Linked DNA regions of Yarrowia lipolytica. The protein of the gene in region 1 purifies or fractionates together with the protein of each later gene. This does not show direct contact. Links are inferred from orthologs where the notes say so. Each region holds a gene or a part of one and is shown in the gene's direction. Other genes may lie near its edges. The genes, in order: YALI1_F01291g, YALI1_E30886g and YALI1_E05602g.

What was found.
Region 2: the proteins of YALI1_F01291g (region 1) and YALI1_E30886g purify together in Schizosaccharomyces pombe (affinity purification with mass spectrometry, with the first as the bait; 3 studies listed by BioGRID). This does not show direct contact. The link is inferred for Yarrowia lipolytica from reciprocal best matches to the Schizosaccharomyces pombe genes paa1 and fba1.
Region 3: the proteins of YALI1_F01291g (region 1) and YALI1_E05602g purify together in Schizosaccharomyces pombe (affinity purification with mass spectrometry, with the first as the bait; 3 studies listed by BioGRID). This does not show direct contact. The link is inferred for Yarrowia lipolytica from reciprocal best matches to the Schizosaccharomyces pombe genes paa1 and ypa2.

The regions. Positions count from the first base shown.
Region 1 is NC_090775.1:127,461-131,643, forward strand, and holds YALI1_F01291g (uncharacterized protein), read left to right. Parts: upstream 1-1,687; coding exon 1,688-3,556; downstream 3,557-4,183. Other genes in the region: YALI1_F01275g (uncharacterized protein), read right to left, coding at 1-77. UniProt on the Schizosaccharomyces pombe protein: Phosphatase 2A affects a variety of biological processes in the cell such as transcription, cell cycle progression and cellular morphogenesis, and provides an initial identification of critical substrates for this phosphatase.
Region 2 is NC_090774.1:3,086,749-3,090,411, forward strand, and holds YALI1_E30886g (uncharacterized protein), read left to right. Parts: upstream 1-1,887; coding exon 1,888-1,950; intron 1,951-2,052; coding exon 2,053-3,084; downstream 3,085-3,663. UniProt on the Schizosaccharomyces pombe protein: Catalyzes the aldol condensation of dihydroxyacetone phosphate (DHAP or glycerone-phosphate) with glyceraldehyde 3-phosphate (G3P) to form fructose 1,6-bisphosphate (FBP) in gluconeogenesis and the reverse reaction in glycolysis.
Region 3 is NC_090774.1:558,512-561,837, forward strand, and holds YALI1_E05602g (uncharacterized protein), read left to right. Parts: upstream 1-1,688; coding exon 1,689-2,825; downstream 2,826-3,326. Other genes in the region: YALI1_E05584g (uncharacterized protein), read left to right, coding at 1-667; YALI1_E05599g (uncharacterized protein), read right to left, coding at 807-1,454; YALI1_E05630g (uncharacterized protein), read right to left, coding at 2,955-3,326.

The DNA.
Region 1 (4,183 bases):
ACGTCTAGCTTTTCATCCTTGTTGAGCTCCGGAAAAGGGGTGGGATCAATCGCGTAGAACCGCCTGAGTGTGGGCATGCTGTTGAGTGAGAAGATTCAGAGCTGATGGCGACGTCGTGGTAATCACGTGACTGTATCAGTGACGTTGTTGAATATCAAGTCGTGGGGAAATCTGTTCTTCTCTGAACAACAGATCTCTAGTATTTGTTGTCCTTGCTAAACGAGGTATAAGTGCCGATACAGTACATAGTGTACGAGTATAAGTGAGTAGCATGGATACAGCAACTGATGTGACCCTACTGAGAGACCGGAGTGGTGTGAGAAAAGCCGGTGATTCCAGTGAAATGATGAAGACTAGATGGTACGTAATCCCCGTGTCTTTTTTCCGGCAGATTTTGGCAATTTTTATACATGTTTCACATTCGAGTCTGGCCTATTTTTTCTCTCTGAAATTTTGGTTTTCATTTTTTTTTTCTTCATATTTTTAAAAAATTCATGTTTTCTGGCTTGCCTAATTTGCTTCTCTGAACCTCCCCCCACTCGCATCTCGGGTGCAATTCCCACAACACCACACTGACGGTAGGGTAATGGGCGGGTTGACTGTCGACCATGAGCAGGTGGGTTTTTACGAGTACAGGTACTTGCACGGATCTACATGTACATTTCTGGGGGTTCTCGTGATGTTGAGAGTTCTGAATAGATCAAAATCTTCCGGCTCAGCTTTTATTCCAACTTATCTATACATCATCGATTTAGAGTGTTTAGGACTGAATAGTACATACACTGTACATATATGAACAGAACATGTCTCTCAGAATCATATTTGGAGAGAAAAAATAATCAATAAAAGTCAGCAGCCGATATACCAATAGCAATCTGAAACCACCATAAAAGTTCTAATACCTCAAATGTACCTTCTATCGCCCCAAAAGTGGTTCTACTCATCTCCCCAGGCCAGTCCTAACCTGTGAGGTTATAGTGATCTGTGGAATGGCGGCATGCACGATAATAATGGGTGGTAATTTGACAATGTGACAATGTGACAATGTGACAATTTGTTAGTGGAAAAAACTTTCGTGCACCTATAGATTAAGAGCCAATTGAGTAATTCGTGCCTATAGATTAAGAGCCAATTGAATAATTCGTGCCCCAAATATTCCTCATAATTGACGGGCCCAGTCCTTTTTTCACTTGCTACTGCAACTCCAACTGCTCACTCGCGGGTCGAGGTTGGGAGAAAGTGCATCAAACTATACGGCGAGAGAAACATGTACGTGTTTACTAGAAGACAATTGTCTGATGAGGCCAAAGTAGTACAGCTAGAGACGTGAAAAAAACACATCATTAGACAATTGTGGACCGTCTGACCAATCTCGATAATTTTCAGACCCCCACATGGCCCCAATTTTCCACAAACCCGACCCCCGAACCAGGGCCAGGGTTGCGACAAACCCTCGACATGCACGTTAAACTGAGCTTGGGTGTGACCATCAATCACCACACTCTCTTCACAACAACAACCACACAACATAGCCATCAACGTGAGTATGAGAGGGCGAAAGAACCGCAGGAGAAGGAACAGTGACACAAAAGGACGGCAATTAGTTTTGATGGGATAGCAGATCTGCTCCACTCACTCATGAGACTTGCCGCCCGCGCTCTGCCCCTGGTCCCACCCACTAACCCAGATGGAACAAGAAAACATTGACATTCCTGACGAGCTGTACCCCCTGGCTCTGCTCATGGACGAGCTCAAACACGACGAGTTTTCGCTGCGAATCTCTGCTATGAAAAAACTGCAGCTCATCGCCGCAGCCCTACGCCAAGAGCGATGCCGTGACGAACTCATCCCCTTTCTGGAGGATGTCACACAGGAGGACGAGGACGAGGTCCTGACCGTGCTGGCTGAGGAGCTCGCCAACCTGGTTCCCTACATCGGAGGCCCCGAGTACTCGCACCTGCTGATCCCCTCTCTAGAGACCCTGTCTTGCATGGAGGAGCCTGTTGTTCGGGACAAGGCCGTGGAGTCCATCAACCGAATCTGTGAGGGATTGCCGTCACGTGATCACGTGGCCCAGACCATCCTGCCTCTGGTGAAACGGCTTTCTTCTGCAGAGTGGTTTTCCTCCAAGGTCTCTGCCACCGGTCTCTATGCTGCTGCCATTCGACACTGTCCTACCGAGGCTGTTCCCGAGCTTCTCAAGCAGTATGGAGAGCTCACACGAGATGACACCCCCATGGTCCGTCGAGCTGCCGCCACCCACTTGCCTGCAGTGATTGAGGCTTTGCCCGCGGAAGCTGATTCTCCTGAGGCCGACGACGAAATCTACTCCATGTTCAAGGCACAGGTGGGCGACGACCAGGACAGCGTGCGACTGCTGTCGGTCAACGTGCTGATTGCCAAGGCCGAGAAGCTCAAGCGACAGGGCAACTCGCAGCACACGTCTTCGCTGATCGAGTTTGCTCTCGCACTGCTCCATGACCCCTCGTGGCGGGTGCGATACATGTGCGCCGACCGGTTCGAGAAGCTAGCCGAGTCGCTCACCTCAGTGGTGCCTGAGGAGGGCGTGGAGAAGACGGAGGTGGACGAGATGGAGCGAGCTTTTGTGCCCGAGTTCATCAAGTTCATGCAGGACGGCGAGGCTGAGGTCCGGACAGCGGTGGCCAAGCAGGTGCCTGGCTTCTGCCGGCTCGTTACCCCCGCCAACCTCGACAAGATTGTTGCCAACGTCGAGGAACTATCTCAGGACTCGTCCCAGCACGTGCGGGCTGCTCTGGGCTCCGAGATCTCGGCCCTGGCACCGCTGCTCGGCAAGGAGAAGACAATTGAGACTCTGCTGCCTACATTTCTGCAGATGCTCAAGGATGACTTCCCCGATGTGCGGCTCAACATTATTTCCAAGCTTCATCTGGTCAACAAGGTGATTGGTATTGATCTACTGAGCCAGAGTCTGCTTCCTGCAGTCTCGGATCTCGCGCAGGACAAGCAGTGGCGAGTGCGCCTGGCCATCATCGAGTACATCCCTCTGCTGGCCACACAGCTGGGCGTCTCCTTCTTCGACAAGGAGCTGGGTCCCCTGTGCATGACCTGGCTGTGGGACAGCGTCTACTCGATTCGAGAGGCCGCCACACAGAACCTCAAGAAGCTGACCAAGGTGTTTGGTGTGGACTGGGCCAAGGACGAGATTCTGCCCCACATTATCGTCGTTGCTGCGGATTCCAACTACCTGTACCGACTCACGGCCCTCTGTGCCGTGACCACACTCATCCCCGTGGTGGACGAGTCGATGATCAAGACATCCATTCTGCCGTTCATTGCCGAGCTCATCAACGACCCCATCCCCAACATCCGTTTCAATGTGGCCAAGACGTACACAGAGTTGGTGCGGGCTCTGCACGAGGAGAAGATCAGCTCGCCTGAGGTGATTGAGGAGATTTGCACATCGACCGTGATCCCCCACCTGGAGCGGCTTTCCACCGACGGCGATGTGGACGTGCGCTACTTTTCCACCAAGGCTCTGGAGGACATTGCCGAAATCAAGAAGGCTCACGCATAGGGTAGGAGACGGGCTGTGGACATGAATTAGATGAATAGTTAATGAGTATAAACGGACGCGCGGTAGTGAGAGGCCGCTTGCAAGAGCCCTGTAGCCTTTACTTTGAGAAGAGAAAGTAAACGGTTTTAATACGGCTCTGGTTGAAGTGGGTGATGCGAGTATGTAGGAGGCTACTTATAGATAGTTCTTCAGGAATGTAAGTTACCCGTGTATACCGAACAACAGGGCTAGACGCTAGACGCTACTCTTTGTACCAACTCGTACCTGTACAGAACCTGTTCAGGACGGGTGCCTATTGTTAACATGCCCAAGGGTACGATTACTCTAGTGCACTTGAATCGTACAGTACTCTCTTGAGAGAGTCAATTAACCGACATTGTAGACTCCTCGCTTCTCGTACCCATCGTACAGTACATGAACTCGTGCCGAACGCACATCAAGAGAGGTGCAGCACTAAGTTGTCCCCTCATCTTGTCGAGTTCCCACACCGTTGCGCACGCACCCAGCTCGTATTGCAGTCTACAGTAAGGATCAATTATCTGTGTTTGGAGCGTCTCGGCTACATGTTTCTGTTTCAGCCGTTTTGTTTTGAAACAGAGACAGTGGTGAGGTGACCCGGGTCACGGT
Region 2 (3,663 bases), on another chromosome or scaffold:
TACAATACGATACTTAGTTGTACTGTGGCTGACTCAGTAGCTGCCGTGGAGGTCAGCTGTCGTGGAGGTCAGCTTGTACCGCCGCGTGGTTGTACTGGTACGATCTCTATCGCCGCAACCTCATGATCAACCCGGTATAAGTAGAATACATACAAGTACGATACTTGTAGTCTACTTGTACTTGTACTCCTGGGGTAGAACCAGCGCCAGCTGATTTCCTACTTGTACGATACTGTAGACTCTCTGTTAGGGAAAGTCCCAACCAGCACACCATGCAACTCCAATATTAGACACCTAACTCTGAATATGAGGTTAGGCTCTCCGCCAGACAGTCTAGACTGTTTCTTAATTTTATTAGTAATGGCAGCAGTACAGGTATCTCTGGGCCGTAATATTCCCCACCAAGCCGCTAGATACGCCACTAAGCAAAGTTCAAGAGCCATCGCACAATTATCTACGAGTACCGCAGCAATCATTCATTTCAAGGCACACATGGGGTTTCTCTTGCAGAAAAACGCACGGTTTCAAAGTATAAACGCACATCTAGGCCGAGACAAGTTGCGGGGTATGGTACTAGTATTTCCGGGTGCATTCCACGGGTGAATGGGCGTTTAGAATTGAGGCAATTGCCACGGGTTGGGCCACATATGTTGAGTACTCATTTCTCCTCTCAATGAACGTCTCCAGAATGACATACATTCTCCTCCAACACCTTGTGGGGTAAACTTCTGTCAGATTCCACGTAACAAGGTTGGTGTCGGAACAACGAAAAAGGATCGGAACAGAGCTTCCGGTGTCGGTGATTGGGCAGGGGGCTGAGGCGTGCCTGGCGCGTGCGCGTGGTAGAGAGAGTGTGCTACAGCAGAGAGATATTACTCGTTTGGAGCTAGAGATGCCGCCGTTGAAGAAATTAACGAACGAGTAACTAACAGACCATTCCAGGATCATCGAGGACCGTTGTCAGCGCCCTTACTACAGAAATGTATGTACAGTAATTACAACTGCGCGGCTGCTTGACGGATGTATGGAGTCTAAGTAATGAGTGCGTACGTAGCAACAACAGTGTACGCAGTACTATAGAGGAACAATTGCCCCGGAGAAGACGGCCAGGCCGCCTAGATGACAAATTCAACAACTCACAGCTGACTTTCTGCCATTGCCACTAGGGGGGGGCCTTTTTATATGGCCAAGCCAAGCTCTCCACGTCGGTTGGGCTGCACCCAACAATAAATGGGTAGGGTTGCACCAACAAAGGGATGGGATGGGGGGTAGAAGATACGAGGATAACGGGGCTCAATGGCACAAATAAGAACGAATACTGCCATTAAGACTCGTGATCCAGCGACTGACACCATTGCATCATCTAAGGGCCTCAAAACTACCTCGGAACTGCTGCGCTGATCTGGACACCACAGAGGTTCCGAGCACTTTAGGTTGCACCAAATGTCCCACCAGGTGCAGGCAGAAAACGCTGGAACAGCGTGTACAGTTTGTCTTAGCAAAAAGTGAAGGCGCTGAGGTCGAGCAGGGTGGTGTGACTTGTTATAGCCTTTAGAGCTGCGAAAGCGCGTATGGATTTGGCTCATCAGGCCAGATTGAGGGTCTGTGGACACATGTCATGTTAGTGTACTTCAATCGCCCCCTGGATATAGCCCCGACAATAGGCCGTGGCCTCATTTTTTTGCCTTCCGCACATTTCCATTGCTCGGTACCCACACCTTGCTTCTCCTGCACTTGCCAACCTTAATACTGGTTTACATTGACCAACATCTTACAAGCGGGGGGCTTGTCTAGGGTATATATAAACAGTGGCTCTCCCAATCGGTTGCCAGTCTCTTTTTTCCTTTCTTTCCCCACAGATTCGAAATCTAAACTACACATCACACAATGCCTGTTACTGACGTCCTTAAGCGAAAGTCCGGTGTCATCGTCGGCGACGATGTCCGAGCCGTGAGTATCCACGACAAGATCAGTGTCGAGACGACGCGTTTTGTGTAATGACACAATCCGAAAGTCGCTAGCAACACACACTCTCTACACAAACTAACCCAGCTCTTCGAGTACGCCCGAGAGCACAAGTTCGCCCTCCCCGCCGTCAACGTGACCTCTTCGTCCACCGTTGTCGCCGTTCTTGAGTCTGCCCGAGCCAACAAGTCCCCCGTCATCATCCAGATGTCCCAGGGTGGCGCTGCCTACTTTGCTGGCAAGGGTGTCGACAACAAGGATCAGACCGCCTCCATCCAGGGAGCCATTGCCGCTGCCCAGTTCATCCGAACCATTGCTCCCGTTTACGGCATTCCCGTCATCGTCCACACCGACCACTGTGCCCGAAAGCTGCTCCCCTGGCTCGACGGTATGCTCGACGCCGATGAGGAGTACTTCAAGACTCACGGTGAGCCCCTCTTCTCTTCACACATGGTGGATCTCTCCGAGGAGGAGCACCCCGAGAACATCGCCACCACCGCCGAGTACTTCAAGCGAGCCGCCAAGATGAACCAGTGGCTCGAGATGGAGATTGGTGTCACCGGAGGTGAGGAGGATGGTGTTGACAACACTGGTGTCGACAACTCCAAGCTCTACACCCAGCCCGAGGACATTTACGCCGTCTACTCCGCCCTCGCTCCCATCTCCCCCAACTTCTCCATTGCCGCTGCCTTCGGTAACGTGCACGGTGTCTACAAGGTCGGCAACGTCAAGCTGCACCCCGAGCTCCTCGAGAAGCACCAGGCTTACTCCGCCGAGAAGGTTGGCTCTCCCGAGAAGCACGGCAACGGAAAGCCTCTCTTCCTCGTCTTCCACGGTGGATCCGGTTCTTCCGACTCCGACTACAAGATTGCCATTGATAACGGTGTTGTCAAGGTCAACCTCGATACTGATCTGCAGTACGCTTACCTTGTTGGTATCAGAGACTACATTCTCTCCAAGAAGGACTACCTCATGCAGCAGGTCGGCAACCCCGAGGGTGATGACAAGCCCAACAAGAAGTACTTCGACCCCCGTGTCTGGGTCCGAGAGGGTGAGAAGACCATGGCCAAGCGACTCGACTCTGCCTTTGAGGTTTTCAACGCCAAGAACACCTTGTAAGTTATGTATAAAAGATGATGTTAGAATGGGGACGATATATGAGCAATTGATTATTCATGGATAAACCTGTGCAACTGTACACTGTGCTGTAGCCTTCGCTAATGCAATGTAGCCACGTCAATTGACCACTTTCGGTTGTAATGCAGGTGGGGGGTCTAGGCCTTGACTGTATCTTGCTTCGTGGGGGTCATCTTTGTTTCGATTTGAGCAAGGCAATTGGGCTATTTTCTAGCTTTACGTTCCTAAGGAGTCAAGAAAAGGCGCATGCTTTTTCGTTCCTACTCATTTTTCATTTCGCTTGACGTTATTCCGAGGGCTGATAATTTTTCCGAATTATGAAATTGAAAGTGGTCCTTTTTTCGTGCTAAAATGGGCACGCGTTGATAGCTTGCTGCAGGGTTGTGCTTGTTCTCATTTATGGCAAGGAGTGGTGGCAACTCTCGGTAGAGTTGTATTGTGGTGGACATTATTGGTTCTCGAGCAATGGAATGGGAATTATGGTACAAATAGCTACAAATACAAGCAGTCATAGCTCGCTCTGACGAATAGAGAATAGACTGTCTCATATCTATTATATCG
Region 3 (3,326 bases), on another chromosome or scaffold:
CGCCTCCAACGTGGCTCCCCAGCCCGTGAAGAAGGGCGAAGAAGACGAGGTCAAGGCCGACGCCAAACCCGAGGCAGCTAATAAAGCTCCACAGCCCAAGACCGCCTCCACAACTGCTACATCCACATCCACTACATCCACCGCTGCATCTTCGCCTGCCCCCTCGGCACCAGCTCCTCCATACGAGAACAACCCTTACATGTTCAGTCGTAGCCACTTCACCCCAAACTTCTCGCGACACCAGAGTGGCAACACTTCGTCCCCCACCCGCATTCTCGGCATCCAGCCACACCCCTTCACCGTCAAGGAACACACCGGAGAGTCCATGAACGAGATTTTCCTCCACAAGGCGCTCGCCTCACACATGCAGCCTCTGCTGCTGAGCCTGGACGACCGAAAGAGAGAGATCCCCAGCAAGGTGTACAAGTTCCGAAACCAGCGACAGGTTCCCAAGGCCGAAAATTCGCTGTGGCTCAAGTCTGTGCTGCGACAGCAGACGCACTCAGACATGGACCTCATTCCCCAGGAAATGCTCCAGCAGATGGTGCCCTTCCGGCCTCTCAGTGACGTTACCCGAAAGTTTTGGGACGTCAAGATGAAGGTTGACTTCAAGCGGCAGCAGCAGCGGAAGCAGGAGCCAGAAGAAGAGGAGGATGACTCCTACTGAACGCTTTTTTGAGCGCCGATTTTGTGTCTCACTTATATTCTAGAATGAACCCCGCTATATCATACTGGGAACATTAGAGTCCAGTTCCCACTAACTCATATAACTTATTGATTTATTACGACGTTTTGTACCAACTACTCTAGTTTCCCGATGCATACTTGTTGACGTAATATCGAACCAGACCTTCCATGGCGCTTTCGTCGCCACATCGCACGAGATTGGCTGCGTCAATGTTAAGAGGCGAATCTGGTTCTGGCAGAGATAGCATGGCCGACACTGCGGTGCATGCAGAAGAGATGGTCCATGCTGGGGACCACTGCGTCTTGAGAACGTCAATGCACACCTCTCCGGTTTCAAAGTGGATGTTTGGGTGGCAGATTTTCGTTCGGAAAAACATGGTCGGTGGCTGTAGCGGGTAGTTTTCGGGGATGTTGATTTCCACCTGCCAGAGACCGTTTTCATATGCAGTGCCCTCGGTTCCTCTCATGACGGCAGTCCATTTGTAGAGATTATCGCCGTCGGCTGTGAGCGATGCTAGGCAAGGATTGGGGTCTTTCTTGTATGCTGCCAGCTCCTTGATGAGTCGTTTCTGGGAGGCCATTTTCAGAGCGTATGATTGTGCTTGAGTAGATGTTAGGGCGATGGCTAGGGCGGCAAGAGCGAGCTTAAGAGACACAAATGTGACGCAGAAGACAAATAACAGAAATGCGGCGGTAACGAGATAGCTCAGAGAGGTTGCGACGAAAAACCAGACGTTGACGGTGGAGATCCGAGGTAGAGATTTCATGCGATGCAAGCCATAGGTACAGTAATATATCACATGCGTCAGTTGGGAGGAGAAAAGTGCTGTGTCACGGGGGTTGGGGTCCAACCTTACACGCACTGTAGCTTAATATCAACGGTCGTCCTGGGGGGCGTTGGAGTAAGGTTTTTACCTTGCATAACCACACAGAATAATCGGCATCGCGATACTTAGACAGCACTACAGTACCACTTCAACACAGCGCACAATTTTATCAACATGTCACACTCACACCCGGTACGGCGAATTCTGTCGCCCAAAGATCTGGAAATATTTGGCGCCAGTGACACAAAAAAGCAAGTGTTTGGGTTCGTGAAGGTGCTCAACTACTATGTGGTGGGCAAGGGCAACTCATACGAGACGCTGAAGCACCCAATCATTGGCAAATTGGTGGCCATTCTCGACAAGGTGATTGATCTTGTCGCCAAGTATCCGCCTGAAGATGCTACGTCGTCACGGTTCGGAAAACCTGAGTTCAGAGATTTCCATCAGGCTCTGGAGGAGAACGCCAAGGACTGGATCTCGGATTTGGGAGAGTTGGAGGACTGGCAGCTCGTGGAGCTCTGTACATATTTCGCTGCCTCTTTTGGTGACCGAACGCGAATTGATTTCGGATCTGGCCACGAGCTCAACTTTATCTGTTTCCTCTTCTGTCTGAGGCAGCTGGGTCTGCTTGATGTGCCAGAGTACAATCCTGAGGTGCACGATCCAACAGGAGAGGCCAAGAATGCCAAGTGTGTGGAAGATGAGACTGATTCCTCTGCAGCAGTTTTGACGGTGTTTGTCCAGTATCTTAAGACCATGCGTGCTGTTCAAGCAAGCTATTGGCTGGAGCCTGCAGGCTCTCATGGTGTCTGGGGTCTCGATGACTACCACTTCCTACCCTTCATGTTTGGATCTGCCCAGCTTGCATGCCACAAGTACCTGCGGCCGTTATCCATCCACGACATGGAGATGTTGGATATGTGGAAGCATGAGTATCTGTACATGGGTTGCATCCACTTCATCAACAGTGTCAAGACCACTGCTTCTCTGAGATGGCATTCCCCCATGCTGGATGACATCTCCGGAGTCAAGACCTGGGCCAAGGTGAACCAGGGTATGGTTAAGATGTACGACGCTGAGGTTCTGAGCAAGCTCCCCATTCTCCAGCATTTCATGTTCGGTCAGCTGATCAAGGCTCCTGAGGGGGTGTCACCTCCTCCTGATCCCAATGCTGAAGTGCAGCACATTCACAACCATTGGGCTGACTGTTGTGGAATCAAGGTGCCCAGTGCCATTGCAGCCTCTGAGATGAGCCAGAAACCTGGAGATCTGCGCAAACTGCGTGGTTCCGGTGTTTTGCCTTTTGATTAGGCAATCCCCAGCTTCCATTGGCACGAAATTATACAATAGATAGGCATATAAACTACGATACAATACAGGATGAGGTAATGATTAGATGATATGGCGAATAAGCAAAATAAATATAGGTGACCGGGGTAGCTAGACCTCAGAGGGATCTCCGAGGTAGAAGCACTGGAACGAGAGGCTGTTTACAGTGGACCCAACCAAAACGCCGTTTCTCTTGTGCCAGACAATCTTCTTTCGATCATTCTGGCCCACGGGTACCGTGCAGAATTGAAAGGTAGACATGTCTAGCACACCTCTGGAGAAGACCAGGTGTTTGCCAAACTGAACAGGGTGTACGTCGGCAACGAACCCATACTTTTCGGGGATCAAGTAAGCCTTGACTGAATCAGTAGAGCAATCGTAGATTATTCTCCACGATGCGAGCCTACCCTCTTTGAATATGACCAGGTTGTCTCCAAAAGTTAGAATGCGGTGATGCCACCACTGTTTTCCTCTCAAATTGCC